Saccharomyces cerevisiae S288C: one gene and its partners. Each later gene encodes a partner of the first gene's protein in a complex. Each region holds a gene or a part of one and is shown in the gene's direction. Other genes may lie near its edges.

Region 1 (5,322 bases):
TGCCTATGTGGATCCGGCAAGAAGACAAATCCTTTTCAAGTATCCTATGTATATGCAACTGGAGGAGGAATTAATGAAGTTAGATGGTACTGAATACGTATTGAGCAGCGTAAGAGAGCCTGACTTCTGGGTTATCAGGAAGCAAAGACGAACAAACAATTCTGGTGTGGGAAGCGCTAAGGGACCAGAGATTATTCCATTGCAAGACTACTACATAATTGGTGCAAACATTTACCAATCGCCAACAATTTTTAAAATTGTGCAAAGTAGGCTGATGTCCACGAGCTACCATCTAAATAGCACATTGGAGAGCTTGTATGACTTGATTGAGTTTCAACCTTCCCAAGGAGTACACTATAAAGTACCTACGGACACTAGCACGACTGCAACGGCTGCCACCAACGGGAACAACGCTGGAGGGGGCAGTAACAAGAGCAGTGTACGACCTACCGGCGGTGCCAATATGGCGACTGTTCCCTCAACCACAAATGTCAACATGACAGTCAACACTATGGGTACAGGAGGACAAACTATAGACAACGGTACCGGTCGTACTGGCAACGGTAACATGGGTATAACTACAGAGATGTTGGACAAATTAATGGTCACAAGCATTCGATCCACCCCAAACTACATATGAGAACTGCCATGGCAATTGCATATATCTTTGTACTATATTATAAAACCCCGCGAAATCAACTTTTCAGTTTTCTTCAAAAATCGATGTACCCATCATAAGAAGTTCCCCCAAAAGGAAAGAAATGAGAGGAAAAAGACACGAAGGGAAAACAAAATGAAATTCAGTGGCTTGTGGTGTTGGTTGTTATTATTCCTTAGCGTTAATGTTATTGCATCTGATGTGGGTGAGTTGATTGATCAGGACGACGAAGTAATTACACAAAAGGTGTTTTTCGATATTGAACATGGTGAAGAGAAAGTTGGCAGAATCGTTATTGGGTTGTACGGAAAGGTATGTCCTAAGACGGCGAAGAACTTCTACAAGTTAAGCACCACCACTAATTCCAAAAAGGGGTTCATCGGGTCCACTTTCCATAGGGTGATTCCCAACTTCATGGTACAGGGAGGGGACTTCACAGACGGCACTGGCGTTGGTGGCAAATCCATCTATGGAGATACTTTCCCTGACGAAAACTTTACTTTGAAGCATGATCGCAAGGGCAGACTATCGATGGCTAATCGTGGTAAAGATACCAATGGATCTCAGTTCTTCATCACCACTACGGAAGAAGCGTCGTGGCTCGATGGAAAGCATGTGGTATTTGGACAGGTTGTGGACGGCATGGATGTGGTGAACTACATACAGCACGTGTCCAGAGATGCGAATGACAAACCTCTCGAGGCGGTCAAGATCGCAAAATGCGGTGAGTGGACGCCTGAGCTCTCTTCTTGAGTATATGCAATATTTCATACTATATACATAGATATCAATTTCAGTATGTATAGTTAAAGGTAAATTAACTAGAGAACGTGGGAACAGTTCCGCACTGTGACCACCGGAACGTACGTCTGGTTAGCGCAGCATTAGTCCCAGTTACATCCGATTCAAAATGCAACAGCAAGTATTAATTGGGGAAATCATATCATTTTGAATATAACCTTGGCGTCCTACTAAGGATGGTTATACATCCTAGCTCGTGTAGTGTGATATTTTGCAGGAATGATGCAAAGAGAGGAAGAACAAGAAGAGAGTTGTTGTTTTTAATGTATCTTAGCAATTTATGAGAGGAGCATTGTCGTTGTCTGCTGTGACTAGTGCGTAGCTTTGCCGTTTGTTTTTAATCATGATGGACATGCAAGTGAGAAAAGTGAGGAAGCCGCCTGCTTGCACCCAATGCAGGAAGAGAAAGATCGGGTGCGACAGGGCAAAACCGATATGTGGGAATTGCGTCAAGTATAACAAGCCGGACTGTTTTTATCCAGATGGACCTGGTAAGATGGTCGCTGTGCCCTCTGCGTCCGGGATGTCCACGCACGGCAATGGCCAAGGTTCCAACCATTTTAGTCAGGGAAACGGTGTAAATCAGAAAAACGTAATGATTCAAACGCAGTATCCGATTATGCAAACGTCGATAGAGGCATTCAACTTCTCGTTCAACCCCTCTGTGGATACTGCGATGCAGTGGACCAAGGCCGCTAGCTACCAGAATAATAACACCAATAATAATACTGCTCCTCGTCAGAATAGTAGTACCGTTAGTAGTAATGTTCATGGAAACACTATTGTGAGAAGCGATAGTCCAGATGTGCCCTCCATGGATCAGATTAGAGAATATAACACACGATTACAACTGGTTAACGCTCAAAGTTTTGACTATACAGATAACCCATACTCTTTTAATGTTGGTATCAATCAAGACTCGGCCGTTTTCGATCTAATGACTTCTCCGTTTACTCAAGAGGAAGTATTAATCAAGGAGATAGACTTTTTAAAAAACAAATTGCTTGATTTACAAAGCTTGCAACTGAAAAGTTTGAAAGAAAAATCGAATTTAAATGCCGACAATACCACGGCAAACAAAATTAACAAAACAGGTGAGAATTCTAAGAAAGGCAAGGTTGACGGTAAAAGAGCCGGATTTGATCATCAGACTTCAAGGACTTCTCAGTCCTCACAAAAATACTTTACAGCGCTCACAATAACAGATGTGCAAAGTTTAGTCCAAGTGAAACCGTTGAAGGATACCCCCAACTACCTTTTCACTAAAAACTTCATCATTTTTAGAGATCATTATCTTTTCAAGTTCTATAATATTTTGCACGATATCTGCCATATTAATCAGTTCAAAGTAAGTCCTCCTAACAATAAAAATCACCAACAATATATGGAAGTTTGCAAAGTTAACTTCCCACCAAAAGCAATAATTATTGAGACACTAAACTCTGAATCCCTTAACAATCTGAATATTGAAGAATTTTTGCCAATCTTTGACAAAACCCTCTTACTAGAATTTGTTCATAACTCTTTTCCAAATGGTGATACCTGTCCTTCATTCTCAACGGTCGATCTTCCTTTATCTCAACTGACCAAACTAGGCGAATTAACTGTGCTTCTACTGTTGTTAAACGATTCAATGACCCTATTCAATAAGCAGGCTATTAATAACCATGTTTCGGCATTAATGAATAATTTGAGGTTGATTCGAAGCCAAATCACATTGATAAACCTGGAATATTATGACCAAGAGACAATCAAATTTATTGCCATCACAAAATTTTATGAATCTCTGTACATGCATGATGATCATAAATCAAGTTTAGACGAAGATTTGAGCTGTCTGTTAAGCTTCCAGATAAAAGATTTCAAGTTATTCCATTTTTTGAAAAAAATGTATTACTCAAGACATTCGCTTCTAGGTCAGTCTTCATTCATGGTACCCGCTGCTGAAAACCTATCTCCGATACCTGCCTCTATTGATACGAACGACATTCCTTTAATTGCTAACGATTTAAAATTACTGGAAACGCAAGCAAAATTGATAAATATTCTGCAAGGTGTTCCTTTCTACTTGCCAGTAAATTTAACCAAAATTGAAAGTCTGTTAGAAACCTTGACTATGGGCGTGAGTAATACAGTAGACTTATATTTTCATGACAACGAAGTCAGAAAAGAATGGAAAGACACTTTAAATTTTATCAATACCATTGTTTATACAAATTTTTTCCTTTTTGTTCAAAACGAATCCTCTTTGTCCATGGCAGTTCAACATTCTTCTAACAACAATAAGACCTCGAACTCTGAAAGATGTGCAAAGGATCTGATGAAAATTATTTCTAATATGCACATTTTTTACTCAATAACATTTAATTTTATCTTCCCCATAAAGTCGATAAAGTCATTTTCAAGCGGCAATAATCGCTTTCATTCTAATGGTAAAGAATTTTTATTCGCAAATCATTTTATTGAAATCTTACAGAATTTTATAGCAATCACATTTGCTATTTTCCAACGTTGTGAAGTAATATTATATGACGAATTTTACAAAAATCTTTCAAATGAGGAGATTAATGTTCAATTGCTATTGATTCATGACAAGATTTTGGAAATTTTAAAAAAAATAGAAATTATCGTATCCTTTTTACGAGATGAAATGAATAGCAACGGAAGTTTCAAATCTATTAAAGGTTTCAACAAGGTTTTGAATCTGATTAAATATATGCTGAGATTTAGCAAGAAAAAACAAAATTTTGCGAGAAACTCTGATAACAATAATGTTACAGATTATAGTCAGTCGGCGAAGAACAAAAATGTTCTCTTGAAATTCCCCGTTAGTGAACTGAACAGAATCTATTTAAAATTTAAGGAGATTTCAGATTTTTTAATGGAAAGAGAAGTTGTCCAAAGGAGTATAATTATTGACAAGGATTTGGAATCTGATAATCTGGGTATTACTACGGCAAACTTCAACGATTTCTATGATGCATTTTATAATTAGTAAGCCGATCCCATTACCGACATTTGGGCGCTATACGTGCATATGTTCATGTATGTATCTGTATTTAAAACACTTTTGTATTATTTTTCCTCATATATGTGTATAGGTTTATACGGATGATTTAATTATTACTTCACCACCCTTTATTTCAGGCTGATATCTTAGCCTTGTTACTAGTTAGAAAAAGACATTTTTGCTGTCAGTCACTGTCAAGAGATTCTTTTGCTGGCATTTCTTCTAGAAGCAAAAAGAGCGATGCGTCTTTTCCGCTGAACCGTTCCAGCAAAAAAGACTACCAACGCAATATGGATTGTCAGAATCATATAAAAGAGAAGCAAATAACTCCTTGTCTTGTATCAATTGCATTATAATATCTTCTTGTTAGTGCAATATCATATAGAAGTCATCGAAATAGATATTAAGAAAAACAAACTGTACAATCAATCAATCAATCATCACATAAAATGTTCAGCGAATTAATTAACTTCCAAAATGAAGGTCATGAGTGCCAATGCCAATGTGGTAGCTGCAAAAATAATGAACAATGCCAAAAATCATGTAGCTGCCCAACGGGGTGTAACAGCGACGACAAATGCCCCTGCGGTAACAAGTCTGAAGAAACCAAGAAGTCATGCTGCTCTGGGAAATGAAACGAATAGTCTTTAATATATTCATCTAACTATTTGCTGTTTTTAATTTTTAAAAGGAGAAGGAAGTTTAATCGACGATTCTACTCAGTTTGAGTACACTTATGTATTTTGTTTAGATACTTTGTTAATTTATAGGTATACGTTAATAATTAAGAAAAGGAAATAAAGTATCTCCATATGTCGCCCCAAGAATAAAATATTATTACCAAATTCTAGTT
Region 2 (2,609 bases), on another chromosome or scaffold:
GAAAACAATATGTGTATTCTACGATGCGGTGCCCTCGGAAGCATATCGGTAAGTGAGAAGTTTAAGAACGGACGAACCTATGACCATTTCCCCGCCTACCATTTCAAAACTCAGTCTAAAGTACTAGATCCTACTGGCGGGGGAAACTCGTTCCTTGGCGGCTTTGCAGTTTCTTATGCCCTAACGAAAAGCTTAGATATTGCTAGTATATGTGGGAACATCGCTGCAGGCGCAATAATTGAACAATTCGGAATACCGAGGTACGATCCAATTGCTAAAACCTGGAACGGAATCACATTCTTGGATAGACTGAAATTTTACCTTTCACAGTCCGGTCTTCAATATAATATAAACGATCTTTACAAAAGTCTAACACGATGATCATATCAGCTTGTTCATTGCTCTTATTTTTCTGCAAAAATATACATATATATATATAAGTAAGTGTTATATACTACTTGAGATTAGGCGTTGTAACAAGATTCAAAAAATTCGAACTCGAACTGTGAAACCTTCACAAATATGCTTTCCACTTCTTCGACGGGAAACTTGTCAACTTCAGCCTTTAGAAATTCACACCAAGTTTGAAAATGCTCACCATCATGTAAATCAATCCATTTTTGATATTTCCAATGCAACCCTGGGGCTCTAGGAGTATCACGAGCCCATCTCCAATAGAGTTCCTCAGCAACCCATAAGCTGGTTACTAAGGATGGCCATGTAATTGAGGCGTCCTTTCTCAGCTCATCTAAGAAATTAATATACGCATCAACGCCGGGGATCGCTTTATTGTCAAAATTATCTCTTTCTTCCTTGGTGAGGGATGGTGCCAATAATTCTAAGCAGTCATGAAAGTATGAGTTTTCATCATTAGAAAAAAATCCAATCTTTTTGGCTAAGGTTATTAAAGCGTGAGTAGTTGGTGCTAAAGAAGTCGTCTTACATATCAACCTTAAGCTAGTTTCAAAAAATTGCAGATCTTGTGATAAATAGATGTACAAACTACGGTCCTTCAATGTTCCGGCACATAGTTCCTTAGCGAATTTATGTTCTGTGGTTTTCCTAACAAGGGCGTCGTACTTTTGTATTAACTTATCAGTGGTACAGCTCATTGTTCTTCCTTGCAGATATTGTTGATATTGTTATTATTTGCGCTAAATTTTAGTTAATACAGAAAAAAATATCTAAGTTCAGTCCAGTTCATATTCGTTTATATATCTTTCGAAGCCAGACCTTTTTTGCCAAGCAATTGTTACTATGGAAACTATTAGAACCATATGCGCTAAACAATATTAGCCATCAATTCAACTTTATTCGCAGTAAGCTCCTGCAGAACAGGCTTATCAATCATTATGGTCTTAACGGAACGCCTAGGGACGCTGACTAGGCCCATCATTCTACTACTGGAGCCCATACGTTCCTCAACATGATCTAATAGCAAATTCATTTGGGCATCTACAGCAACCAAGCTTCCAACTAAAATACGATCTTCTGTAAGGGAAACTATTAAAGTATTTCCAATAAAATCTGACAGTTTCAAGATGTCCATGACGCTTTGGTGCCCCTTACTAAGTTTGTTGAAGACTATCTTCACCCTATCAATGATATCATCGCATTTAAAAAATAGTCAGAACTCATGCACTTCGCGAGATATTTTTTGAAAAAAAAAAAATTAATCCGCCACATAAGATGCACAAAATGAGCCTATAACATTGAATTTTATGATAGAACGAAAGGATTGTGTTATTTAGAACAGAGTATCAGTATATCGTATGTCACAGAACAACACAATCAGCTCAATGAATCCTGAAAGAGCTTACAACAATGTAACGCTGAAAAATTTAACAGCATTTCAGTTATTATCTCAAAGAGAAAACATATGCGAGTTATTGAACTTGGTAGAAAGTACGGAAAGACACAATAGTATTATCAATCCTGAAAGGCAAAGGATGAGTTTGGAAGAAATGAAAAAAATGCTCGATGCTTTGAAAAATGAAAGGAAAAAGTAGGAAAACGCAACATTCACAATTGTAAGCTACAAAATATTGAATGTGAATCCTGCTTCATTACAAATGAAGAATTTCAAAGCGTATCTAGTTCACCAAAAGTCACAATATCTTATTATTATTTGGAAGCTTTTATATGCATCTAATGGTCATAAATCCCATCTCACTTTATAAAACAAGTTACCGCGAATGTATCCAGTGATACAGAATAGAGTGTAACAAATGAGAATAAAAATACCATATTATCGTTTAATTTTGGTAGGGTACGCTAAAATAAAGTGGTGTTTGCGTCTCCATATAACTAAAAAGAATTGAAATGGCCTACTATCGATTAGACTATTCAGGCATGGAAGCAGTAAGAACATTTCTTGATTTTGGAAAAATGAGATTAGATTATTAATTATTGTGTTTGTGTATATAATTTATTTTGCATATTTCATAAAGAAATTAAAATTAGATTATTAAATATTAAGTTTCATTAGTGACATTAAAAGAAGAAAACTGATGTTTTGAAATGTGTTAAGCAAAGAATGATTAAGACAATCTCAAGCTGCTCTAAGCAGTATCTTCGACAGCTTGCTCTGCTTCAGGTTCGGGTTCGTG
Region 3 (5,510 bases), on another chromosome or scaffold:
GTTTTCTATGTATGCACTCTCATATGTTTTTTTGTACCCCATTCGCACCATTGCGTTACTAACTATATGGAGACCTTATAATCTCTGCTTCTTTACAGAAGTCAAAATATACGTATGCATTGGTAAACTTGAAACCAATTGTACCCGGACATGTACTGATCGTTCCACTGAGAACTACGGTTTTAAACTTATCAGATCTGACCATGCCTGAATCTCAAGATTATTTCAAGACTTTACAGTTAATACATAGATTTATTAAGTGGCAATATAAGGCTGACTCTATCAACGTTGCCATCCAAGATGGACCTGAGGCCGGACAGTCGGTACCCCACTTGCATACACACATTATTCCACGTTATAAAATAAACAATGTAGGGGATTTAATATACGATAAATTAGATCATTGGGATGGTAATGGGACTTTGACTGATTGGCAAGGAAGAAGAGACGAATATTTGGGTGTTGGTGGTAGGCAAGCAAGAAAAAATAACTCTACATCGGCCACTGTAGACGGGGATGAACTCTCACAAGGTCCTAATGTCTTGAAGCCAGACAGTCAAAGGAAGGTTCGAGCTTTAACCGAAATGAAAAAAGAAGCTGAGGATCTTCAAGCCAGACTAGAAGAATTTGTATCTTCTGATCCTGGTTTAACACAATGGTTATAGTTCAATAAATAATAGATTCATACTTACGATATAAAAAATAGTAGGGAAGTTAATTTTCGTTTCGCAGCGAATCCCTTTTAGCAGAGGAAAAAAAAGATGAAACCATCCTTACTACTTTCCTCGAGGAGACTCAACAGTAAAGGTTACTTTCAATTCAATAAACAAAAGGCACAGCGATATCCGCAATTATGAAGCTTCAATTTTTTTCCTTTATTACCTTATTTGCTTGTCTCTTCACAACAGCCATTTTTGCGAAAGAGGACACGGCAGAAGATCCTGAGATCACACACAAGGTCTACTTTGACATTAATCACGGTGATAAACAAATTGGTAGAATTGTTATGGGATTGTATGGTCTCACCACACCCCAAACCGTTGAAAACTTTTACCAGTTGACCATTTCCAGGGACCCTAAGATGGGTTATTTGAACTCTATCTTCCATCGCGTTATTCCTAACTTCATGATTCAAGGTGGCGATTTCACTCACAGATCAGGTATTGGGGGTAAGTCTATCTTCGGAAACACGTTCAAAGATGAGAATTTTGATGTCAAACATGACAAACCAGGCAGATTGTCTATGGCCAATCGTGGTAAAAACACCAACGGATCCCAATTTTTCATCACCACCGTCCCATGCCCATGGTTGGACGGTAAGCACGTTGTCTTTGGAGAAGTCTTGGATGGTATGGACGTAGTTCACTACATTGAAAACGTTAAGACCGACAGTAGAAATATGCCTGTAAAGGAAGTTATTATTGTGGAAAGTGGTGAACTGGAAACTGTTCCTTTGGACAATAAAGACGCCGCCAAGCTACAGGAAGAGATCAAAGCGGAAGCTAGCGAAGCAGCCCACGATGAACTCTAAACTGCATCACTATTCAGGAGATGTATAGGCCAGCTATGTAACTATATAGTGCTTATAACAGTTGATTATCACATAGAACGAGTATGTTACCCTATGGCCCTTTTCTGGCACAACTTCACAAGAGTATTTCAATTGACCAACGTGGGTCTTGTTGACCAGCTGGGATCACACAGACCAAGAACTACCTTTATTATTAGGAACATACTGCTTTCTGGACACTTCCACTGCTATACCTTCTCGCAAATAGCCATAGTTCACCAATATTCATTCGGCCCGTTAGACGCTTGTAAGACCACTTTCCCGTTTTCGCCCGAGAAGATATATTAGCTGCTTACATTAGATTATTTCATCAAAACTCACGGCTTTCAAACCAAAGTCATTGGTGCTCTGCTGCAATTGCCCCATACTACGCAGATATTTAAAATCGAGGTTTCTGTGATATTTTCTTAAGCTCTTATCTACAAAAATAGCATTTCAGAACCAAAAAACAACGATGGATATTCGTGGTAGAAAAATGAAAAAACCGCCTGCATGCGTGCAGTGCCGTAAGAGGAAGATAGGCTGCGATCGTGTTAAGCCGATTTGTGGGAACTGTATGAAGCATAATAAAATGGACTGCTTTTATCCGGACGTTCCCGGACAATACGTTCCCTCTAGTTCTTCCTCTTCCAATACACGCCAAGTAGCCAACGGTCCGTACTTAAACTCTTATTACGCTTCTCGTCGTGTCTCCAAGGAAACTGCTGCACTTTTGCAGAAAAATCCAGAACTGGCTTCTTTGGAGCAAATAAGAGAATACAACACGCGTCTGCAACTGCTCAATGCTCAAAATCAACTTAATAATAGATCATCTGCGGCAAATGCAACCTTGAATCAACAACACACTCAATATATTCCAAAATCAGTGCCTTCCTTGGAAAGTAAGCCAGTCACTTCTGCAAACGAATCTTCTACTCCACTCAATTGGGTTCAAGGCCCTGCAATTTTTCATATGCTAACCTCTCCTTACACACAAGATGAAATCATCAATCATGAAATGAATTTCTTGAAAGGCAGACTACTGGAATTGCAAGAAATTACAGGTAAGAAAATTACGGGAGTAAATCTTGATCTCAAGCAGGATTCCTCAGCGCAAATGCAGTCTTCACACTCCAATAGAAACCAAGAGGAGTTTTTGACAATTAAGAAAAGAAAACTGAGTGAAGACGGCGTTACGGACGGGGACGGTAAGCCAATTCCAGAGAGTGAAAGAAGACCTCATCTTAATGAATTTAAGGATTTAGATCCTCAATTTTTGGATACTAATAAAGTTTTTAATGTGTTTAATTCTGCTATTTCAGAAGAAGGTAGAAACAGATTATGGCTGTTACCAAAAAATATAAATAAAAGTTCTATCTTCCAGATTCAGTATTTGATTGAACGTGATCCTTTCCTATTCAAATTCTTCAATGACTTGAATATATTAATTGAAACGCAATTTAATGGACCTTTGCACGATTTGGTAGCAAGCCGTAACAGTATTGAGCGCAACAGTGGCATATCTCAAATATTAAAGTTTCCTTCACAATCGATAACACAGACCCTTATCAACAAATACTTATCCACGATAACGGAAACGAATTCAATACTTCCAATATTAAAACCAAAGAGACTATTACCCATAGTTGAGCAGCTTTTTCCTTCTAACACCATTAATAAGCCAAATTCTAAAGATTTTGAAACTATTTTTCAAGTTTTTAGTGTGACCAATGATCAGCTACTAAATCTAGGATTTATTACTCTCTGTCTCCTGATTCTTTTTGAATCGTTGAATTCTACGGTTTTGATTCCTCTTAGAGATGATGAACACTTGCAATTATTCAATGTGTTATTCAACTACTTGCCTTTGTTGAAGTCTAATTTAACAACGCTTAGATTTGAAATTGAAAAAAGGTCAATGTGTAATATAGAGACCCTGCGGTTTATTTCTTTGTGGAAATATTACCAATTTGTGATGGACACGTCGTCATCGTCCTCTTTCGTAATTGATTACGACGAAGATATGCATATGGCATGTTTACTATCGTTAAATCATGAAACTCAAAATCAATCTCATATTTTGACCTGGAATTTCATATTTAAGAACTACTGCTGGAGACACCTTTTCTTAGGTCAATTGCCGTTGCTAATGTCTGAACCTTTCACAAATTCTACCCCAATTATTGATCCTTTGTTGAACAACGATTTTGAATTGATTGATTTTGAAGTAAACTTGATGAAATATTTGCAAAGTAAAGATCAACAACTATCCATTGATAAAATTATACAGTTAATCAAGCTTTTGAAAAATAAGAATATCGAGGTCAGCCAAGGATGTTTAACGACTCCTTCAATAATTAATAATATCATGGATTCTCTAATCTACAGGAATTCAATGTTATATTTGAACTTTTACCTCTTATTGCAATTTGAAACATTGAAAAATTATGCTAAATTTAACGAAATTTTGGAAGACTTTTTGGAATTGTCGAGGGAGACCTTGTTCTTTGTTTTCTCGAACTTAGCCAATATTAAATTTGCTGGTCATGAATTCACATTCATCAATAAATCTATTGTGGTTCTGCAAACTTTAGTTTTAATGCTTTTGGCGCTCTATCAAAGGTCTTTTGATTCTTCAAAGAGGACGAATGATGCTAATGAAATCAGTGAGCAAACAGATATTCATAGTAATAACGACAATAGTAAGAGAATAAAGAATAAAAATGTTATTCATTTAATTATCAACAAAATTGCAATGTTGTTAAGTGATTATACCAAGAATTGTAAAAAGCAAAATAAACTCATCGAAAATCTGATTATTAAAATTAAGACAATCTCCAAGTATATCAAAAATCTTGAGGAGAATAAGGTAACGACTAGCGCCGATTCAAATTATTCCATTAATAACGGATTTTCTGGCATATCTGCAGAGCAGTTGATTAAATTAAATCACGAGTTGAGTAAAATTTCAGAATCTCTGATAAAAACGGATTTTTATGAACAGAGGAAAAATAGCACAGTTTCTAATGGAGTTTTAGGCGCAGCAGCTCCTGTTGATAGCGACGCAAATTCGGATACTTTCGGTTTAACAAAGGAGAATTTCAACGAAGTTTTTGAGGCTATTCGTAGCTAAAGCGACTCAAACAAATTAAAGAAGAAGTTGAGACTTTTATAGTATTTATTATTTAATCTGAGGATTTGTATTATTTTTTTATATAGAATGAATAAATCAGAAAAAGGAAATTATGAAAAGAAAAGAATGAGGAGAGTGGGAGATATTTAATGTTGTTAGCTATTTATCTGTATGGAAGTTATTACCTTCTTTTAAGATGGTACAAATAGCATATAGGTGGGTTTGGTATAAAGATCATTTAGTTTTTGTCATAGATTTTTCAATTGTGCATAGGACCAGTTTATGTTACCTCTATCATACTTATATTTTTTTATATACAAATTTTTAAATTACCGATATTATATATAGGCACCGATAGTATAGCCCACCAAAGCGCCCAAATAACCTCCAACAACAATAGGAATTGGCCAATTCTGCCAATCTCTATCCCAATCCAAAGGAATGACAACACAACTAATCCAACCCCCTACAACGATAAAGATAAAATACTTCTTCCATAATCCCACTTTGAAATCACAATTAAATACAGAATAAACTGCAGGGTATGCTAAAAATGCAAAATGCAGTGACAACAGCCAGGTTTCCCACAATAAGTCCATTAATGGCGCACCAAATAATATAGTTAATAACATTGTGGGAAAGCTCAACAAAAATGTAACACCTAGACAAATAATGGTCAATGAGTAATTGATCTTAATGATTTTGTTACCGTAAACTGTGCATTTATTGAATTGTAAAACTAAATAAGCAACTTGTGTAGGAATCAAAAAACTTAGCAACTTCACCGTATTGAAATTTGAAGATACAAAAACGTAGTAATAAAGTAGT
Region 4 (3,903 bases), on another chromosome or scaffold:
GTGAATGTTAAGTCTGAATTCCAAGTTTTAGCAGGTCCAATCAGCGATATCTCCTGGGATTTTGAAGGGCGAAGACTCTGCGTTGTGGGAGAAGGTCGTGATAACTTTGGTGTTTTCATATCCTGGGATTCTGGTAATTCCTTAGGTGAAGTTTCAGGTCACTCACAACGCATCAATGCTTGTCATTTGAAGCAATCTAGACCTATGAGATCTATGACAGTTGGAGATGATGGATCTGTTGTCTTTTATCAAGGACCTCCATTTAAGTTCTCTGCCAGTGACAGAACACACCACAAACAAGGCTCATTTGTCAGGGATGTTGAATTTTCACCTGACAGCGGTGAATTTGTTATTACGGTAGGGTCTGACAGAAAGATTTCTTGCTTTGATGGCAAATCAGGTGAGTTTCTTAAATACATAGAGGATGATCAAGAACCAGTTCAAGGTGGTATATTTGCACTATCGTGGCTTGATTCCCAAAAGTTTGCTACCGTAGGAGCAGACGCTACCATTAGGGTTTGGGACGTCACGACTTCAAAATGCGTTCAAAAATGGACCTTAGACAAGCAACAACTGGGAAATCAACAAGTTGGTGTTGTTGCAACAGGAAACGGAAGGATTATTTCTCTTTCACTGGATGGGACCTTAAACTTCTATGAACTTGGACATGACGAGGTTTTAAAAACCATTAGTGGTCATAACAAGGGTATTACTGCTTTGACAGTCAACCCACTAATCAGTGGGTCATATGATGGTAGGATTATGGAATGGTCTAGCTCTTCCATGCACCAAGATCACTCCAACTTGATTGTATCATTGGATAATAGTAAAGCGCAAGAATACTCCAGTATTTCTTGGGATGATACTTTGAAAGTGAACGGTATTACTAAGCATGAATTTGGATCGCAACCAAAGGTTGCTAGTGCGAACAATGATGGCTTCACTGCAGTACTAACAAATGATGATGATTTGTTGATATTACAGTCTTTTACGGGCGATATAATCAAGAGTGTAAGACTGAACTCACCAGGCTCTGCCGTTAGCTTGAGCCAAAATTACGTTGCAGTTGGTTTGGAAGAAGGTAATACTATTCAGGTATTCAAATTATCAGATTTGGAAGTCAGTTTTGATTTAAAAACACCTCTTCGCGCAAAACCCTCGTACATATCAATTTCGCCATCTGAAACATACATCGCTGCTGGAGATGTTATGGGCAAGATATTGCTATATGATTTACAATCAAGAGAAGTGAAAACTTCAAGATGGGCTTTCCACACCAGTAAAATCAACGCCATTTCATGGAAACCTGCTGAAAAGGGAGCAAACGAAGAGGAAATTGAAGAGGACTTAGTTGCCACTGGTTCTTTAGACACCAATATTTTTATTTACTCCGTCAAAAGACCTATGAAAATCATTAAGGCGTTGAATGCTCACAAGGACGGTGTTAACAACCTTTTATGGGAAACACCATCTACCTTGGTTAGTTCTGGTGCGGACGCTTGCATTAAAAGGTGGAATGTTGTCCTCGAGTGAGATAAGAATATAAAGTAAACAATTACGTAACCTTAGAAAAATAGATATAAAAAAGTTTTACACTGTTTTTACCACAGTCCATATAAACTTGTAATTATTACCCGAATGCTTTGATTACTTCGCTCTTTTAAAAAAAAACCCGTTCGAACTATTAAACATGTTACTGTGAGCAGACAAAAATATTGCAAGAAAACAGCTTTATAAAGTTTAAGCATTACTGAATACAGTACATTTACTTTTGAAGAAGGAAATACCATCTAGCAGAAATGTCAGATTCAGAGGGAGGTCTAGCTTCCGAAGTTGAACATGAGAAGCGGTCAAGATCTACTAGCAACAGACCCAATTATGCAATTGATACTGAGGATTTAGATATTGATGAAAATGATGAGAATGAAGATGATGATTACAGAGAAGAAGAAGCCAATGAGGGAGTGAATGAAGAAGAAATAAGTGATGAGGAGGAACAGATAAATAAAAGCGGAAGAAACAAAAGGAGGCACGTGGACGAAGAAGAGGATTTGTCAGAGGATAAAGGCGTTACTAGATCTAGAAACCGTTCAAAGTTCAAAAAACCAGTATTTCCCGGAATCGATGATGCTGAGGAGAACTTAAATCCTTTGAAAGTGGTCAATGAAGAATATGTTCTACCAGATGATCCTGAAGGTGAGACGAAGATAACTGCAGATGGTGATCTATTAGGAGGCAGAGAATTTTTAGTGCGCACCTTCACATTAACTGAGAAGGGGAATCGAAAGTTTATGCTGGCCACCGAACCGGCTAGGATAGTGGGTTTTAGAGATTCATATTTATTTTTTCAAACTCACCCCAACCTTTATAAGTTCATTCTGAATCAAACTCAAAAGAACGACTTGATAGACCGTGGCGTTTTACCTTATTCATATAGAAATAGACAAATCGCTCTAGTCACCGCTAGAGGCGTGTTTAAAGAATTTGGTGCTAAAATCATTCGTGGCGGCAAACATATAACCGATGATTATTATGCTTCTGAATTAAGAACAAAGGGAAATGTAATTGAAGGAAAACTTGCTGGTGATCCTATTGATAAATCCGCAAGGGCCTTAGAAACCATGATGTATCCTGCTTCCGAGAATGGCATAAACCCTGCAAAAAACCAGGTGGAATTCTTTGAACACAGGCCACATGGTCACATGAGTAATTCTAATATTATTGCATCAGGTAGTAAGCTGAGCTCTACAAATTGGCTCTATCAGCATTCTGCTGCGTGTAGTAGATTTAATAGCGATTTGTTTTATGATAGAGTGAAGGTTCTTCTTGTAGATCAACAAGGCTTGAGAGATGCATACACAAATATATTACACATACCAGAATCCACACAGTCAACCACTGTTTTAGGATGGAGGAGATCAAAAAACGATAGTCCCAGCGACACAAGCATTGTGTATGAGACCGTTATACACGATAACGATTTGAATAAACCGAAAACGGGACTGTCGGAAATCCCGAAAGAGATCTATGAAGACGTTGTTGATGAAGACGTTTTAAGGGCTATCACCGAACAACAAAATTTCGAAAAATGCAACGAATATATTTAGTATACTCAATGTAACAATATAACAAATTTTTATCTTCAAATCAAGGTAAAAAAATTCATATATTCTCACTTTCTTTTTCTTTTCTTGACTATTCATCTACATATGCATTTCACGCGTAAATAGGTTGATCTACAAACTTTGAATGAATTTTTCCATTGGCTCGTTGCCATTTACCAACGAAATGGTTTTTTTCACTGTTGCATTTGGATGTAGCAAGCTTTCCACAATAAAAGAAGCTACATCCTCCCTGTTAATGGAGTAGTTAACAGAAGCCTTCTCTTCTAATTTGTCAAGGGGTTGCAAAAGACCGGTACCTTTATTTAGTTCCAACGATCCAGGCTGTAAAATAGTGTAATCCAAATTAGAGTTTCTAACCTCACGATCAGCAGATCTCTTTGCAATATAGTATTCACGCAAACCCTTAATGTTATACCAAAAATCTCTATCCTCCGCCTTGAGCGCTGAAACAACAACGAACCTTTTGATACCAGCCTTTTCGCATGCTTCAACAACTTTGATACAGCCATCCAGATCAACCGTGAAAATTCTTTCCATTCCTTTACCACCCGCACCGGCGCTAAAGACCACGGCATCATAAGCCTTAATAGCGTCTGTGATCTCACTAACGGACGCGTTTTCTATATCTGTCAAACTAGCATCAACACCTACTTCATTCTTGAAATAATTGACTTGATCCTGTGTTCTAACAATCGCTAATGGTGTTGAGAAACTATCGTTGGCCTTCAATTGGTTTATCAATAAACGTCCAACTTTACCACTGGCACCGACAACCGCA

Evidence for each region.
Region 2: RSC30 (region 1) and HTL1 share a complex: the UniProt entries of both Saccharomyces cerevisiae proteins name them as parts of the fungal-specific module (HTL1-LDB7-NPL6-RSC3-RSC30) within the RSC complex.
Region 3: the proteins of RSC30 (region 1) and RSC3 are in contact, whole or in part, in a cryo-EM structure (PDB 6K15), measured with the Saccharomyces cerevisiae proteins. Residues at the interface, in NP_011923.2 of Saccharomyces cerevisiae: Ala194 (codon at 2,382), Val195 (codon at 2,385), Phe196 (codon at 2,388), Asp197 (codon at 2,391), Leu198 (codon at 2,394), Met199 (codon at 2,397), Thr200 (codon at 2,400), Ser201 (codon at 2,403), Pro202 (codon at 2,406), Phe203 (codon at 2,409), Thr204 (codon at 2,412), Gln205 (codon at 2,415), Val208 (codon at 2,424), Leu209 (codon at 2,427), Glu212 (codon at 2,436), Ile213 (codon at 2,439), Leu216 (codon at 2,448), Lys217 (codon at 2,451), Lys219 (codon at 2,457), Leu220 (codon at 2,460), Leu223 (codon at 2,469), Gln224 (codon at 2,472); in NP_010589.3 of Saccharomyces cerevisiae: Pro155 (codon at 2,487), Leu156 (codon at 2,490), Asn157 (codon at 2,493), Trp158 (codon at 2,496), Val159 (codon at 2,499), Gln160 (codon at 2,502), Gly161 (codon at 2,505), Pro162 (codon at 2,508), Ala163 (codon at 2,511), Ile164 (codon at 2,514), Phe165 (codon at 2,517), His166 (codon at 2,520), Glu181 (codon at 2,565), Met182 (codon at 2,568), Leu185 (codon at 2,577), Arg188 (codon at 2,586), Leu189 (codon at 2,589), Leu192 (codon at 2,598), Ile195 (codon at 2,607), Thr196 (codon at 2,610).
Region 4: RSC30 (region 1) and NPL6 share a complex: the UniProt entries of both Saccharomyces cerevisiae proteins name them as parts of the fungal-specific module (HTL1-LDB7-NPL6-RSC3-RSC30) within the RSC complex.

The regions. Positions count from the first base shown.
Region 1 is NC_001140.6:214,315-219,636, reverse strand, and holds RSC30 (Rsc30p), read left to right. Parts: upstream 1-1,802; coding exon 1,803-4,454; downstream 4,455-5,322. Other genes in the region: mediator complex subunit MED6, read left to right, coding at 1-640; peptidylprolyl isomerase CPR2, read left to right, coding at 794-1,411; metallothionein CUP1-2, read left to right, coding at 4,919-5,104; YHR054C-B (uncharacterized protein), read left to right, coding at 4,947-5,120. UniProt on the Saccharomyces cerevisiae protein: Component of the chromatin structure-remodeling complex (RSC), which is involved in transcription regulation and nucleosome positioning. RSC is responsible for the transfer of a histone octamer from a nucleosome core particle to naked DNA.
Region 2 is NC_001135.5:153,548-156,156, forward strand, and holds HTL1 (Htl1p), read left to right. Parts: upstream 1-1,772; coding exon 1,773-2,009; downstream 2,010-2,609. Other genes in the region: MAK32 (Mak32p), read left to right, coding at 1-381; PET18 (Pet18p), read right to left, coding at 465-1,112; MAK31 (Mak31p), read right to left, coding at 1,283-1,549; HSP30 (Hsp30p), read right to left, coding at 2,562-2,609. UniProt on the Saccharomyces cerevisiae protein: Required for cell cycle progression through G2/M transition at temperatures higher than 33 degrees Celsius. Component of the chromatin structure-remodeling complex (RSC), which is involved in transcription regulation and nucleosome positioning.
Region 3 is NC_001136.10:1,067,901-1,073,410, reverse strand, and holds RSC3 (Rsc3p), read left to right. Parts: upstream 1-2,024; coding exon 2,025-4,682; downstream 4,683-5,510. Other genes in the region: HNT2 (bis(5'-adenosyl)-triphosphatase), read left to right, coding at 1-9, 99-665; peptidylprolyl isomerase family protein CPR5, read left to right, coding at 854-1,531; mannose-ethanolamine phosphotransferase GPI11, read right to left, coding at 5,021-5,510. UniProt on the Saccharomyces cerevisiae protein: Component of the chromatin structure-remodeling complex (RSC), which is involved in transcription regulation and nucleosome positioning. RSC is responsible for the transfer of a histone octamer from a nucleosome core particle to naked DNA.
Region 4 is NC_001145.3:449,262-453,164, reverse strand, and holds NPL6 (Npl6p), read left to right. Parts: upstream 1-1,799; coding exon 1,800-3,107; downstream 3,108-3,903. Other genes in the region: AIP1 (Aip1p), read left to right, coding at 1-1,533; YMR090W (uncharacterized protein), read right to left, coding at 3,237-3,903. UniProt on the Saccharomyces cerevisiae protein: Component of the chromatin structure remodeling complex (RSC), which is involved in transcription regulation and nucleosome positioning. RSC is responsible for the transfer of a histone octamer from a nucleosome core particle to naked DNA.